Saccharomyces cerevisiae S288C: one gene and its partners. The protein of the gene in region 2 purifies or fractionates together with the protein of the main gene of each other region. This does not show direct contact. Each region holds a gene or a part of one and is shown on either strand. Other genes may lie near its edges.

Evidence for each region.
Region 1: the proteins of YTM1 (region 2) and RPF2 purify together in Saccharomyces cerevisiae (affinity purification with mass spectrometry; 9 studies listed by BioGRID, with this or other methods). This does not show direct contact.
Region 3: the proteins of YTM1 (region 2) and NOP15 purify together in Saccharomyces cerevisiae (affinity purification with mass spectrometry; 5 studies listed by BioGRID). This does not show direct contact.
Region 4: the proteins of YTM1 (region 2) and MAK21 purify together in Saccharomyces cerevisiae (affinity purification with mass spectrometry; 6 studies listed by BioGRID). This does not show direct contact.

What each region holds. Positions count from the first base shown.
Region 1 is NC_001143.9:591,006-594,165, forward strand, and holds RPF2 (rRNA-binding ribosome biosynthesis protein RPF2), read right to left. Parts: upstream 1,536-3,160; coding exon 501-1,535; downstream 1-500. Other genes in the region: MTD1 (methylenetetrahydrofolate dehydrogenase (NAD(+))), read left to right, coding at 1-352; NUP133 (Nup133p), read left to right, coding at 1,820-3,160. UniProt on the Saccharomyces cerevisiae protein: Required for biogenesis of the 60S ribosomal subunit.
Region 2 is NC_001147.6:830,819-834,774, reverse strand, and holds YTM1 (Ytm1p), read right to left. Parts: upstream 1,963-3,956; coding exon 580-1,962; downstream 1-579. Other genes in the region: TPO4 (Tpo4p), read left to right, coding at 1-323; FSF1 (Fsf1p), read left to right, coding at 2,733-3,716. UniProt on the Saccharomyces cerevisiae protein: Component of the NOP7 complex, which is required for maturation of the 25S and 5.8S ribosomal RNAs and formation of the 60S ribosome.
Region 3 is NC_001146.8:417,236-420,328, forward strand, and holds NOP15 (rRNA-binding ribosome biosynthesis protein NOP15), read right to left. Parts: upstream 1,254-3,093; coding exon 591-1,253; downstream 1-590. Other genes in the region: CYB5 (Cyb5p), read right to left, coding at 1-67; YNL108C (uncharacterized protein), read right to left, coding at 1,779-2,591; YEATS domain-containing protein YAF9, read left to right, coding at 2,863-3,093. UniProt on the Saccharomyces cerevisiae protein: Involved in the biogenesis of the 60S ribosomal subunit. Required for pre-rRNA processing and cytokinesis. Associates with the precursors of the 25S and 5.8S rRNAs.
Region 4 is NC_001136.10:568,661-574,232, reverse strand, and holds MAK21 (RNA-binding ribosome biosynthesis protein MAK21), read right to left. Parts: upstream 3,585-5,572; coding exon 507-3,584; downstream 1-506. Other genes in the region: YDR061W (uncharacterized protein), read right to left, coding at 1-69; E2 ubiquitin-conjugating protein UBC5, read left to right, coding at 4,463-4,509, 4,600-4,999; TGL2 (triglyceride lipase), read left to right, coding at 5,530-5,572.

The DNA of each region.
Region 1 (3,160 bases), on a different chromosome or scaffold from region 2:
ATACTCTGTGGACGTTAACAACATTCAAAAATTCACCCGTGGTGAAAGTTTGAAATTAAACAAGCATCATGTGGAAGACCTTGGGGAGTACTCTGAAGATCTGTTGAAAAAGTGTTCTCTTGATTCAGATGTGGTCATCACTGGTGTCCCTAGTGAAAATTACAAATTCCCCACCGAATACATCAAAGAAGGTGCCGTCTGCATCAATTTTGCATGCACCAAAAATTTTAGCGATGATGTCAAGGAAAAAGCTTCTCTTTACGTTCCAATGACTGGTAAAGTTACCATTGCAATGTTGTTGAGAAACATGTTACGTTTAGTAAGGAACGTAGAACTGTCTAAAGAAAAATAGAACATTTGTGGCTGTTCAAATAAGCATAGGTAAAACAGAATACATAAAAATAAGGGAAAAAAAGAAAGATCATTTGTAATGTACTTACTACATACATATAGAATTCTCCTCTCTTAGATTATCATATAATATACAAAGTTTATGGGTCTTATTTCTTCTGTCTTTTAGCAGAGGGCTCAATATCAGTGGCACTGACGAACTCTTCTTCGTATTCTTGTCCATCATCCGAATACGACGCTTCATCTTCGTAGTCTTCATCTACCTCTCCATCACCTTCTTCAGTTCCTTGGTCGAATTTGGATTTCAAACCCTTCATCTTTCTTGTTTGTAGTTTACCCAAATCTTGTTTGCCCATATGGATTCTACCCAATTTATCACCCATGATATCTAATTCTACATTCTTCTTTGTCTTCATTTCTAATTGTTTTGGCTTCTTGTGAGCTTCAGTGACCATATCTGGACTTGGAGTATGAATTCTGCCGATTTTGAAATCTAGACGTGGCCCAATCTCCACCAATTCAATACGTGGTAATCTCTTACCACCTTGGTCGCTTTTATAACTTTTTAATTTGTAAACACGGAATAGAACGTTCGGCAATGGCTCACCATCTTGGAAGTCACCTTGAATGGTCATGGAAATGACATGTTGTAATCCCGCAACATCCTGTAAATCAGTAGATTCGCCTCTAAAGAAATCTAAAAACAAAGATTTAATTTGCTTGTATACGGGATGTGTATCAAATGCAGCACCTTGGAATGTAAACATAGGCTTCAACCCTACAGTAAATGTTAATTTCTTAAAATCAGATAACAACTTGAAATTATCTGCAACCATTAGTTCAATCATATCATATATTTTGTAGCCAAATGTACGTATAAAGGTCATGTTGTTTTTACGCTTTTTGGAACTTGTCATCAGCACCATCAATGAACAGTCATTCTTTTCACTAAAGAACTCTAGTGGCGACATGTCTTCGAAAGGATGAATATCATTCTTACGATTGAACCTCTTCATATCTGGCTTCTTCAAGGCACTCAAATCTACCATAATATCGTGCAGATTCTTGTTACAGCTTTGCCCTGGAATGAATAGCGCTTGCTTGACATTCTCTACCAACTTAGCTTCCCTCTTTACCAAAGCTCTCTTGGCTCTTGCATTCTTGGGTTTTACGGTTCTAATCATTTTTTCTGCCAGTGTTCTCCTGCGCTTTTGGATATGATAACTTCAATACAACTCATCGATATACCAAATCACTTTCCAATAATGCATTACACTATAAGAAAATTCGATCCTTAGCTCATCGCAAAAAAATGAAAAATTTTCAAATCGTATAAAACGATATATTTGAGGATTTAGGAATCAAAATAGCAGAATAAACCAAAACATACACCATTTAGGAATAAGGTTTAGAGGAGCTCGAGCATACTGTTACATCCAATTCAAGTGAAGTACATTAGGATAGCCATATGAGTGAAAAAAAAGTACATCTTCGTTTGCGGAAGGAACTTAGCGTACCCATTGCGGTGGTTGAAAACGAATCCCTGGCGCAGTTGTCTTATGAAGAGGAAAGCCAGGCCTCTCTAATGGACATTTCCATGGAGCAGCAACAGTTAAGGTTACATTCGCACTTTGATAATTCCAAGGTTTTCACAGAAAATAACAGATACATAGTAAAAACCCTTCAAACAGACTACAGTAGCGGATTCAGTAACGATGACGAATTGAATGGATATATCGATATGCAAATTGGATATGGACTAGTCAATGACCACAAGAAGGTTTACATCTGGAATATTCACTCCACTCAAAAGGATACGCCCTATATAACTGTACCATTTCGTTCTGATGATAATGATGAAATAGCAGTCGCGCCCAGGTGCATACTAACTTTCCCTGCTACAATGGATGAGTCTCCATTAGCACTGAATCCTAATGATCAGGACGAAACCGGAGGGCTTATCATTATCAAAGGTAGCAAAGCGATATATTATGAGGATATCAACTCCATAAATAATTTGAACTTTAAGTTATCTGAAAAATTCTCTCACGAGTTAGAATTACCCATCAACTCTTCGGGCGGAGAGAAGTGTGACCTAATGTTAAACTGCGAACCTGCTGGTATAGTGCTTTCTACAAATATGGGCAGAATATTTTTTATAACCATTAGAAATTCCATGGGTAAACCTCAACTGAAGTTAGGCAAACTATTAAATAAACCTTTCAAATTGGGTATCTGGTCCAAAATTTTCAATACAAACAGTTCAGTTGTCTCATTACGAAATGGACCTATCCTCGGTAAGGGGACAAGGTTAGTATATATTACTACTAACAAAGGAATTTTTCAAACATGGCAGTTGTCTGCCACGAATTCCCATCCAACAAAATTGATTGATGTAAACATTTACGAAGCCATTTTAGAGTCGCTCCAGGATTTGTATCCATTTGCTCATGGTACGTTGAAGATTTGGGACTCTCATCCATTACAAGATGAAAGTTCACAACTTTTCCTGTCATCTATTTACGACAGTTCATGCAATGAAACATATTATATTCTTTCCACGATTATCTTCGATTCTTCTTCTAATAGTTTTACTATTTTTTCCACTTATAGATTGAACACTTTTATGGAGTCAATAACCGACACAAAGTTTAAGCCTAAGATATTTATACCTCAGATGGAGAATGCTAACGATACCAATGAGGTAACTTCCATTTTGGTAATGTTCCCCAATGCTGTTGTCATTACTCAGGTGAACTCAAAATTGGACTCTAGCTATTCAATGAGAAGAAAGTGGGAAGATATTGTT
Region 2 (3,956 bases):
ATGCCGCCATGGAAAAGGAGGCTGAGACCGAAGGTGGTATAGATGACGTAAATGCTGTCGATGGTGAATTGAATCTAACAAGGATGACCACGTTAAGGACCATGGAAACAGACCCTTCGACTAGAGAAAAACCAGGTGAAAGGCTATCTCTGCGCAGGACCCATACGCAGCCCGTTCCTGCCTCGTTTGATCGCGAGGACGGGCAACATGCGCAAAATCGTAATGAACCCATTTCCAATAGTTTATACTCAGCTATCAAGGATAATGAAGACGGTTATTCGTATACGGAAATGGCCACCGATGCTTCCGCCAGAATGGTTTGAAAAGGTCTTAAGACAGATCACAATTGCATATATTCAAATAGTAAATTGGGGGATAGCTGGATAAAATTCACCAATTTAAATTTATAGAAGTTTCATACAAGTACACATTATCATAGAAGTATTTTTTTTTTTAGCAAGTAATGTCGTTTTACATAAAGAAGAAGGTGACAGAAATTTGCGAAAGCTGTTGGCAAAACCAAATTTATTTCAAGTATATCAGTACATTATTCTACATAAAAACAACAACAGTTTTTTCTCAGTTTTTGAAAATGTTGTCTCCTTTATTTATTTGAATCTTTTTGTCTTGACCAGCGCTGATAATACCCACTTTTTCAGCCCATTTGACAGCAAAAACTTTGTCATTGACGCCCTTTTGGACCGATTTGTCTTCTCTTGTTATGGTGTACATCGGAGAAGTAGACCTGACGTCCCATACCTTCACGGTACCATCGTGAGAACCCGAGCATAATATATACTCATTCTCGGGACAAGTGTCCAGAGAGGAAACGAAGTTCTTATGACCAATTAGTTGTTGCTGAGTAACTTTGGAAGACGCTCCCACACGTGGGTCATGCAATGTGATGTGTCTGGCGCTGGACCCACATGCTAACAAGTTCAAAGTCGACAATTGAGCAATGGAAAGCAACGAGTACGATGTTGTTCTTGTATCTATACATCTCGCGGTGACCAAATCCCATGTCTTGATGGTATGATCTTGTGATACTGAATAACCAACGGTATTATCTGTAGAATCGAAGATCACTTGCTCAACAGGAGCTGTATGGGATTCTAACAGAGACAGAGGGGCACGTCTTCTAATGGTACCATCTTTCATTGTCAATTTTCTCCTTTTTCTAGCAGCAGTGGATATTTTATTGTTTGGATTGTTTATATCTTCTAATGGATCAACAACTGTCATTTCCTTATAAATAGTAGACCAGAACCCAATAGAATTGTCGTATGATGCAGATAATATTCTTGAGTTGTCTGAAACATCAATAGAGACTACTGGTGCCTTATGACCTTCCAAGATAGCCAGTGTCTTACCGTCCTCTATGTTTACTTCGTCATCATCGTCTTCCTGTGCCTGTTGTTGTGAAGTTAATTTCAAATCATCGTTTTTGGTTTTCCATAATCTCAAAGTACGGTCGTTACCAGCCGAAACTAGCCTTGTATTGGAAATGTATTTTACTGCACGGATTGGGCCAGAATGACCACTGTACTGCTTTTGCACATTACCTGATAAATCCCAGGTGCGAACTATACCATCGTAAGAACCACTAATAATATGCTTGGAACCGTCGCCGACATCCAATGAGCTAACCCAGTCCTCATTGCTGAAACTATTCAAATAGGATGGTGGAAGAATTGCCCTGGTATATTCTACATTCAGCGAGGCTTCGCTCGATAAACCTTTCTTGGTCAAATAGTCGTGCAATGAAGTACGTAACAATTCACCTTCAATCAAGAAATCGAAAGGAACAGGCTTTTCCGAGCCCAACAAGTGATTGACAATTTCGGACAACCCATATCTCTTTAATGAGATGGGGGCGTACATTGGAGTATCTTGTACATGTAGTAATTCATCTTTCTCACGCGTGAAAAACCTGATTTTAACCTGCGATTTATCTTCTGTCATATTGAATTTGTGCAGTTTCCCTTGGTATTGTCTTTAAAACTTTAGGTAACGTATTGGTTCTGCGAACATAGAATATGTCTTTTTGCAATTATACAGATGAGCATATGCCTTTCACTGCTCCTACGGTTTGCGATGAGATGAGCACTTCAGAAAATTTTTGAAAAATTTTTGAAGTACTGGCCGGGTAACAGAAAACTGTCAAACCCTCTTGTGCAAGAAATAAGCTAAAGTTCTCCCTAAGAATAAAATAGTAAAGGAAGCTATTGCTACAGATAAATATAAATGAATGAAAGATATCTCACTCGCGCAGCTACCGATCTGGGCCAATGGGAGACACTAAAAGAAGCACCTGTGAGAAGCGCCCAGAACAGTATGAGGACGCTCATGAGTGTGGGAGTTGCTCTAGCTCTTCTTTTCCCCTCTGATCACCTACGGATGTAAGATGGCACAGTGAATAGAAGGCATGTTTAATATGTATCATGCCTTCTTCGGAACCGAAAATCAAAGATAACTAAAAAATGAAAGAAGAGTAATACTAGAAAAATGATCGCTGCCTCGGCGCTTTTTATACCAATGGTGCCCGAGACGAACGAAAAGTTTTTCTTTCGTACTGGCGTCCGGTACCGGAGCGTACCAGATTGAGGTAATTGGATAAGAGACTGTTAGGTCTTCGCATCAGCTTTACAGTTTTCAAAGGCGTCGACCACTGCAAGTTAGCAATAATAAAACCACACAGCATCGAAAGAAAAAAATAAACAAGGCAGAGAAATATGGCATCATCAGTCCCAGGGCCCATCGATTTGCCCGAATCCCGCTATGACTTATCCACGTATTGGGGTAGAATCCGCCATTGCGCAGAGATTTCCGACCCCACTATGTTGTTAACTACTGAGAAGGACCTGGCGCATGCTAGAGAAATCATCAGTGCGTATCGTCACGGTGAACTAAAAGAGACTACTCCGGAGTTCTGGCGAGCCAAGAAACAACTGGACTCCACCGTGCATCCGGACACAGGGAAGACAGTTCTTTTGCCCTTCCGTATGTCTTCCAACGTGCTATCAAACCTAGTCGTTACTGTAGGTATGCTGACGCCTGGTTTGGGTACGGCAGGGACTGTATTTTGGCAATGGGCAAATCAATCGCTAAACGTCGCCGTTAATTCCGCTAACGCAAACAAATCTCATCCTATGTCCACGTCCCAATTGCTCACCAATTACGCTGCCGCTGTAACTGCGTCGTGTGGTGTTGCGTTAGGTCTAAATAACCTAGTTCCCAGGTTGAAAAACATTTCTCCACATTCAAAGTTGATCTTGGGCCGTTTGGTGCCATTTGCCGCCGTGGTCAGTGCCGGTATTGTCAACGTCTTCCTAATGAGAGGCAACGAAATTAGAAAGGGTATTTCTGTGTTTGACTCTAACGGTGACGAAGTCGGAAAGTCCAAGAAGGCTGCCTTCATGGCAGTTGGTGAAACTGCATTAAGTAGAGTGATTAACGCCACTCCAACTATGGTCATCCCACCTTTGATTTTGGTTAGACTACAACGCGGTGTCCTCAAAGGTAAGTCTCTCGGTGTGCAAACTTTGGCCAATTTGGGGTTGATCTCAGTCACAATGTTCTCAGCTTTGCCATTTGCACTCGGTATCTTCCCTCAAAGACAAGCAATCCATTTAAATAAACTAGAACCTGAACTACATGGCAAGAAGGATAAGGATGGGAAGCCAATTGAAAAGGTCTATTTTAACAGAGGTATTTAGAAGTGAAGAGACAAATTTATATAGTTATAGAATAAATATCAGATAGATAAGAAAAAAAAATTAGTTAAACATTAATATATATATATGTGTAGTGACTGACATACGTATGACTGCTAGTAATCCAGTTGCCGAGCTATTGTTGCAGATTGAAATGTCATCACGTGGACATTATATCATCATTAACGACTAATGCGTCAAAAAAAAAATGGGCTAAAAAAAAAAAAAGCAAAAAAAAGAAAC
Region 3 (3,093 bases), on a different chromosome or scaffold from region 2:
TGATAATCCAGAAATTTTCTGGGCCATTGTGTTCGGCAACTTCTTGGTAACTGTAAACTTTAGGCATGATTGTTTGATATTTTATGTTGTAGTTGATTGATTTTCTTTACTATGAAGAAAATGAAAATCGAATTTAAATATTAACGAGGAAGCCTGAACGAAAATTTTTGAGAAAGTTTCAAAAGCTTCTTGTTCTTTATATAGTTATTGGAAAAAGGACAATATATATATTTGTTATTTATTGATATAATAACAATGCTTCTCAAATATCGCTTTTTGGCCACGAATGCGACAAAAATTTTCTCGTTATGCTAACCTCTCTCACTATCTCGATCTCGTATAGCTTTCTTTTTTGCAGCTATTGTTCTTTTTCTGGGCCGTTAAATTTTTCATCCGGAAACTCCAGGCTATTACCCGCTCCGTGATTTTGGTCGTTGAATCTTCGTAAAAGCAATCATGTAAATATCATTGAATACGGACAAACGGAACTATATTGCTGGAATTAATGATATAAATGGTTTCCCAAGTTTGCTATATCTCCTATTCTATCTTACAAAACCCTTTTCTCAGGGTGGATGAGAAGTGACAAGTCACCATTTGAATTCGATACCTGACTTGGCTAATTTTTTTATCCTTTCTTCATGTTTTTGCTTCATGTTATCCTTTAGCTGTTTTACTGGTTTGGTGATACCTTTCTCTACTAGAACTCTCTTCTTGTATTTGTACAATTTCTCGATTTTAGCTCCTTTTGGTAATACACGCACTTGTAGTAGATGACCCATCAACAAGTAATTGTTCATAGATTCTTGGGCGATCATTGCATCCTCTTTATTAACGAATTCTAAGAAGCCATAATGTCTGGAATTTCCAGTTTTCTTATTACGTGCTAATCTCACTTCTTTTAAATCACCGAATTGAGCAAAATATTTACTTAATTCCTTTTCGTGGAACCCATGTGGCAGTCTACTCACATAAATAATCCCAGAATACTCTTCAAGTGTCTTTTTATCTTTCGACTTTTTTTCATTAGCCTGCTTCTTAGGATTCAATCTTTTAATCTTGTGTGTACCGCTCTGCTCATCATCAGAAGCGGCTAAACCTTCAATTTCATCTTCATCTTTTTCGTCTTCTTCATCTGAACTGCTAGACGATGTTTCTAGAGCCAACTCTTCTTTCTCCTGTATAGGTTTTTCTTCGGTGGGTTGTTTGGTTACTGTTTCCTTGGTGGAAGTTTTGCTTGTTGACTTTACCATATCGATCTCTTTCCTCTGTTATTTTATCTCTAGAACTTAACCCTATAGAAAAGGTAGTTAATGAAGTTAAAAGTAATGGTAATCGTCTTCAAATTAAGTGATGAGATGAGATGCGATGCACTACTTCATTTTTTCTTATGGCGGAAAATTTTTCATAGTGAAAAGAAACAGGCAAAATCTGGGGGGTAACCGCATACGTCTCTGCTATGCCGTCTGTAATGAGGATGCTAAAGTTGCAATAGCTGCTATGCACATTAGAAAGGGTTTAGCAGGATAATGAGTTTTCAGAGATAGCACAAAACTCGAAAGGTTTCGGTACTACTACCTAGACAGCTCATCTTTCAATCGTTGAACCTTGAATTTTGAAGTTTAGGGATATTAAAAGATACTGTTAATTCTATCAATTTACACTAGACTTTGACATATGTATATATATATATATATTCACACAGCTTCATCATGAAATAAAAATCAAATGCAGAAGTGTATAATGAGAAGTACAGAATTCAAGACTCACTTTAGTTTTCACTCCATTTTTAGTTTTCCGCTCTCAGCTGCTCTTCTCGCTTTGATATCAGCGTCTGAACCAGCCTCAAAGGCATTCATAAACGTCCAATTCATTTCTTCCCCATTAGTTAAAAAGGAGGTGTTGCCATTCATTGTAAGTTTCCACTCTCTCTCTTCAAATGGTATACTTTCATTTTCTCCTTTCACCAGCTCAAATTTATCAATAGCACAACTTCCATTTCTTATAAAGGTGCCTTTGTTATCAATGGGCTCTTTGGCACTGGAGAATTTCAACAAGTTCATACCAAGAGCGGATTTAGTGGCTGCGTGGGTAACTATCATAATGGTCTTTACATTTGGAAATTTTCTCTCCACTCTGTCAATAAAGACAGGCCAGAATTTATGGCACCTCTCAAAAATATCTTCTTCTGTTTCACCCTTATTACTAGGAATAATACTAGGTTCCCAGTCTGGAGAGATCATGCTTGGAAAAAACTTACTCATAACTTCATGAGTAGCAGGCTCCGGGATAATGGGTCTATCAGGCTTATACCATTCTCCTACACCACGATCGACATATAATGGAATCTTTAAAGCCTCCACTGTGGGTTTACTAGTTTCTAAACAGCGGTAAAATGGGGAGGAGAAAATCATTTCTGGTTTGACATCTAATTTAGAGATATAGTTCGCCAGTTCATGTGCCTGTTCAACACCGTGTTCCGAAAGCGGGACATCGTTATCAATACCGGTGGGCGGTGGTGGATATGGTCCCTTTGGTAGCCAGTTTGACCTGTAACCATGTCTGGCAATGTATATATTTTCGATAGCCATAATTTATAGCACTATTTTAACCTCTTGTACAACTAATTGAACGTCTTACATATTGAACGAAACTGCTTTACTTCTAGGATTGTTTTCAAAGCTTTTTTATAAATTTCGAAATATCCGCTATTCGGATGACGTGATGACGCTTCGGCACCATTGATTATTTTTCCAGAGTTTAGATGTCTTCTATGTGCAACTGAACAAGTAGCCTTCGAAAGCTAGAGGGATAGATACATTACTTGTGACCACCTATTTACGGCATCACAAAGAAAGCGAGATGGCTCCGACAATAAGCAAAAGGATAAAAACTCTCTCCGTGAGCAGACCAATAATATATGGCAATACGGCTAAAAAGATGGGTAGCGTTAAACCACCAAATGCTCCTGCCGAACATACTCATTTATGGACAATTTTTGTCAGGGGCCCACAAAATGAAGATATATCGTACTTTATCAAGAAAGTCGTTTTTAAACTTCATGACACCTACCCAAACCCTGTGAGATCCATA
Region 4 (5,572 bases), on a different chromosome or scaffold from region 2:
ACTGTTGCTAGCCAGTGATGACTTGAAGAGCGCATTCGTTATTCGTACAACGAACTTATTGGTACTCATAATTAAAAAATCTTTCACAGAATATTAATCAAGTATTCACAAATTTGTTTTGCTTACTGCAATTAGCTAACAGAAAATTGTCGCTACAAATGTGCCTATATAAACAAAATGGTTAAAAATGAGTTCTGGATTATTTATTTCTAATAGGAGTCACGTGGTTCCATCGTTTTTAGTTTCGTCTCACGATGTCAGCAATCTCGGCGATTTCAACTGACATAGTTGTAGCTAAAATCCGTTTCTATTTCCGCATTACTCTTTTTCCGTTTACTCCCGCTCTAATAATGTTGAAAAGCGGACATAAGTAGAGTTATCAGCAAAACTCTGATATGCGTCTTTCGCTTCAAGGTTTCGTATTGGACCGTTTTTTATTGTACAAAATTCTGTTTTCCTTATTTAATTTACAACACCGAAGTGTTTAGTTAATGTATTATTATTTTCTAGTCTGAATCTTGATCTAAATATTGAGCATAATCGTCGGCAGATGCAAATACCGGTAGACTTTTGAGCATATTCTTTCTCTGCTTCTTCTTTGCTCTTTTTGCGGATACCTCTTTATTTTCTTCTTCTTCTTTTTCTTCTTCGCTGCTCTCGTCCTCTTCACTACTTTCAGCGAAGGAACGTTTTTTATCACTATTGTCTTGTTCTCCATCGAAACTGTAAAAAATATCCTCATCGAGGCCTTCTTCTTGATCGCTTTCTTGGCTGCCTTCACTTTTAGCATCTTCATCATCAATTGCGTCCAGCTTAGGTTCATCGTCACTAGTTGAATCGCTGAAATCATCTTCAGCGAAGTCAAGTTCACTGTCGTCGCTATCATCTTCAACATCTGGTCTCGATTTAACCAAAGCACTCCAAATTTCATTTTCATCCATTTCGTCATCACTATCGAAATTAGATGCTTTGTTAGATTTCTTTCCTTTTCCATCAGCGGTTTTCTTGGTAGTGAAATATTGATAAAAGAATTTATCTTCAGGTTTGATATCTTCAACTTTTTTAGTTAGCCAGTCTTCAGTGTTCACGGGACCCTGGTCATGCATAATATCAGATGCCTTAACTAAGACAGAGTCATTAACTCGTGAGCCACTAAACAGAGGTTGCATAATAGATGTACCTCTTGCTGTATTGGTCTGCTTGGCACTTCTGTAGACAAATCTGTCAAGGAAGTGTGATAGAGTAAATAGACCCAGGTCTGGTTTAGCTATTTGCTCTGTTTCTCCTGTCACATAGGCGTTTGCATATGTTTTCACAGTAGGATGAAAATGATTGATGAAGTTGTTGATTTCCCATAAAGAAGATTTTTCAGCATTGGCGAACTTTGGATCACGCTTGCGGCCGTCGTATTCCTTCCTTTTTATGTCCTTGTCCCCTTGCTCCTCTTCTGCATCAGATTCATACTCGTAATCAACTGGCGTGTTGGTTAGAAGATTTTTTATTTGTGGAACTGTTTTAGCCAACTGGATTAATAAGAAGAAAAAACCAGTAATGGTGCCGACGTTCAACCAATGAGAACAAACTTGAAGAATTCTCTTGACAAAGGCTTCTACTCGTTCAACGTTGAGTGCATCTTGTTTTAATGATTTGTATAGTAAATTCAAGTAAATACCCTGCTTAGAAGAGTTCACCAGTCTGGGGTCAAATAAACTTTCGTATAATGTTCTATAATATCGATCACTGTTCAACTTTGCTTTGACGGTGACTTGATTAATCAAAACTAATGCTTGGATTGAGGTGTTAAAGTTAGAGGAGTGTGTGATTTTGAAAAGAGTTTCCATATGTACTTCATAGACAGACGCTGGAATCTGAGCGAATGGGAATGCACGATTGATACCTGTTAACAAAGCACTGAATAATTTTGAGTTCTTTTCATCTAAAACTTCATTTTCCGTTTTTTCGATTTTTACAGATTTACCACCGTGTTTACCCTTTTTAAAGTTCTTCTTTCTTTTCTCCTCATACGACTTTGAGTTACTCTTAACAACGCCATTGGTATTGTCTTTATCAGTATTAATCAAGAATTTTTCAAACAAAGTGAAGTATGTTTTTACTAATTTATTAGCAACAGAGTCTTCTGATCTTTTTAAGATGGTTTGGTTTAAAGTAATAACAGAATAGTAAGTGGTATGATAATCCGCATTCGGTCTCAATGCGATATCAACGATAGCATCAATGACAATAGATTTCATATTCGGATGAGCTTGTTCCAACTTCAGTAGTAAATATGACGCCTTCGAAGAAACTTTGGAATCAATATCACCAATTTTATTTACACCTAATCTCAATAAATTAAATTCCTGCTCTGGTTGGTTGGTCAATAAATCAAATACATGATTTAATATTTGTAATCTAACGTGAATAATTGGATCGTGGGAAAGCACTTCCAAGACTTCTAAAACACGAAAGAACAGTTTCTTTAAATAATCTTCGAAATAGAAAATTGCAAGAGTTTTCTTGTTTAGCATCATAGATAAGCCAGGTTGATTTTTGAAATACCTCAGCTTTCTGTTGGGCAAAAGACCATTTAAGAATAAATCCTTCAAAGCGTTTAAACTCTGTAAAGCAGAGTTTCTCGATTTTTTGCCACAATATGAAACCAGAGTTTCTAAAGACTTAGTGTTATGCAATGGCGAATCTTGAATGAGTAAAGTTACGGCAGATATTTTATCGTTGAGGGTACCGTCCGATAGGATTTGGGACATGAACTTGGCCTGCGATGAGTCCTTTGTAAACTCCTCATAGTAAGTTTGGTTGTCAGCTTCTAGCGTTTGCTTACCTCTTTCAAAAAGTTTCTCAATCTGTTCCTTGGATAATTCTTCAACATCATCATTTTGTCCAACTTGAGGATCCAATGGAATTTCATACCATGGTTTATCGTAAGGAATAATAAGTTTGTCAGATGAGATAATAGTAGTTTGAGTAATTAAACCTCCATCTTTCTCCTCTTTCTTTTCTTTCTCTGCAGATTCTGATTCTGGCTCTTGGTCTGAACTAAGATTAGCCTCTTCTACTGTGTTTTCTTCTTGTTCACTGCCATTATCGATTGACTCTTGGGAGGTTTTCTCTATTGTCGATGATGCAATGTTTGATTGTGCATGTTCCTTCTCTTGAGCGGGTATTTTAGATTCTTTGGAGCTAGTGGATTCTTCTTCTATATCGTCATCGTCTACATCTTCGAGTTTGTGTTGGTCAAATCCTACATTCTTCATGAAATTTTGAAGATCGTTCTTGAATCCCTTGTCGTCAGCATCCTCGTCAGCGACGGCATCAAATTCCTGTTCGCTCTTAGCGTCATCATCATCGCTTAATCCTTGAATCAATTTTAGATCTTCTTCGCTGGCACCCAATGCTAGTGCTTCACGACGTATGTCCTCATTTACCTTCTTTGAATTACTACTGGCCTTCACGTCCTTGCCTTTGTGGGTTTTCTTCGCCTTTTTGCTGTTATTGTCTCGCAATTTTGACGAAATCTTATTTCTTAGTGAAGACAAATCCAGCGGATTGCCGTTGTTCTCACTCATTATTTTTGATTACTGTACCAACAAAGACACTGGAGAGGTTTAATATCTATAGAAATTTATCAAACTATAGAATTTCGCTTCCGATGTGTACGACATAATGCTTTCTTATTCGCAACTCCATTACTTTGGCATCTCTGATAATTTTTTACCTCATCGCCAAAAGAAAAAATTTTTCATTCTGCAACGGGTAACGGAATACAGAGGCAAGAGAACGGAAGAACATCATATCGGCGGTTATTACTAAACAGTATATGTCCAATCGGTTTTGGAAATGAGATTTTCTTATTAATGATCTGATCTTAGATTATGTTGGGCAATACGCGTTATACAAAAGATCTGCTATTGCATGTGGTGAAAGTTATACCAACATTTTTGCTTATATGAAATCATCTGCAACAACCAATTGGATAAGGATAGATTTCTCAAATATATTAAATTATGTCTTGGTTTACTTACACAGAAAGTCCCAAAGTACAGATGAATTATACTAGGGTTGTGTTCATTGTTCCATGAGAGGCTGTACTTTTTGCCTACTTATTTTGGTACTCATTCATTAGGCTCATAAACCGATTTTTCTTATATTGTGCGTAATTCAATTAGATATCTAGATGTATTGCTAGTGCTAGTACGGTGTAAACTCTCGTAGCAAGCGCTTTTGAAGCATGGCTGTGGTGGAGGTAGTTGCCACTGCGAGCGGGTAATAAAGCGGCTGCCGCCTTACTCATTTGTACCAAAGATAGCCGACCCAAAATTATAAAAAATAATTGTATCCCGGATTTTAATAGATGGTTGGAGTTTTATTTTCCAAGGTCAGGACTGCTTATTGACTACCATCTTGAAAAGTCATTTTCTGCTCACCACCCTCAACTAAACTAAAAATGTCTTCCTCCAAGCGTATTGCCAAGGAATTAAGTGATTTAGGGAGGTATGTTAAAAATAAAATGAATGATTTTTCTTGATCTGTAAAGAAAAAGGATTACTAACATGAGTTTCTTTTTTGAACTTTTTTCCGAAGAGATCCTCCTGCTTCATGTTCAGCAGGACCTGTAGGGGATGACCTGTATCATTGGCAAGCCTCTATTATGGGTCCTTCAGACTCACCCTACGCTGGTGGCGTTTTCTTTTTGTCTATTCACTTTCCAACTGATTATCCATTCAAGCCACCGAAGGTAAACTTTACGACCAAAATTTATCATCCGAATATTAATTCGAGTGGTAATATCTGCCTTGATATTTTAAAGGACCAGTGGTCACCGGCGCTAACCCTTTCAAAAGTTTTGTTGTCTATTTGCTCTCTTTTAACAGATGCTAATCCCGACGATCCTTTGGTCCCTGAAATTGCTCAAATCTACAAGACAGATAAGGCTAAGTATGAAGCCACCGCTAAGGAGTGGACTAAAAAATATGCTGTTTGATTAATTTGGGCTAACGGATAAATTGTGTAGACTTACCTTCCTCAGCGCACACATCAATATATTATATATTCTTTACGTATACAAACACGCAAATTCTTATAGGTATAGCGATATTAGTTTGATCAATTCCCATCACGTACCTTGCTTTCTATTATTTACTCTTTCTCCTGTACCTGCTACTATCAATTAAAAAAAATTCTCCGCGACGGGGAATTGAACCCCGATCTGGCACGCGACAAGCGCCCATTCTGACCATTAAACTATCACGGAAGAAACAAAGCACTCACGATGGGGGTCGAACCCATAATCTTCTGATTAGAAGTCAGACGCGTTGCCATTACGCCACGCGAGCTACTATTTGTCGGAAAAACATTCTGATTCATCTAGCTAAATGATTGTTTAAAATATGCTAAATTTCTCACCAACCTTTTCTCATAATGAGCCTAATATGAACCGCTATTGAAAATATGTACAAGGAAGAATATAGAGAATAAAGCGTCTTGTTTTAAAGGAGGAAAAGCATAAAAAAAATGAAAAATGATAATAAAGCTAATGATATAATAATAGACTCCG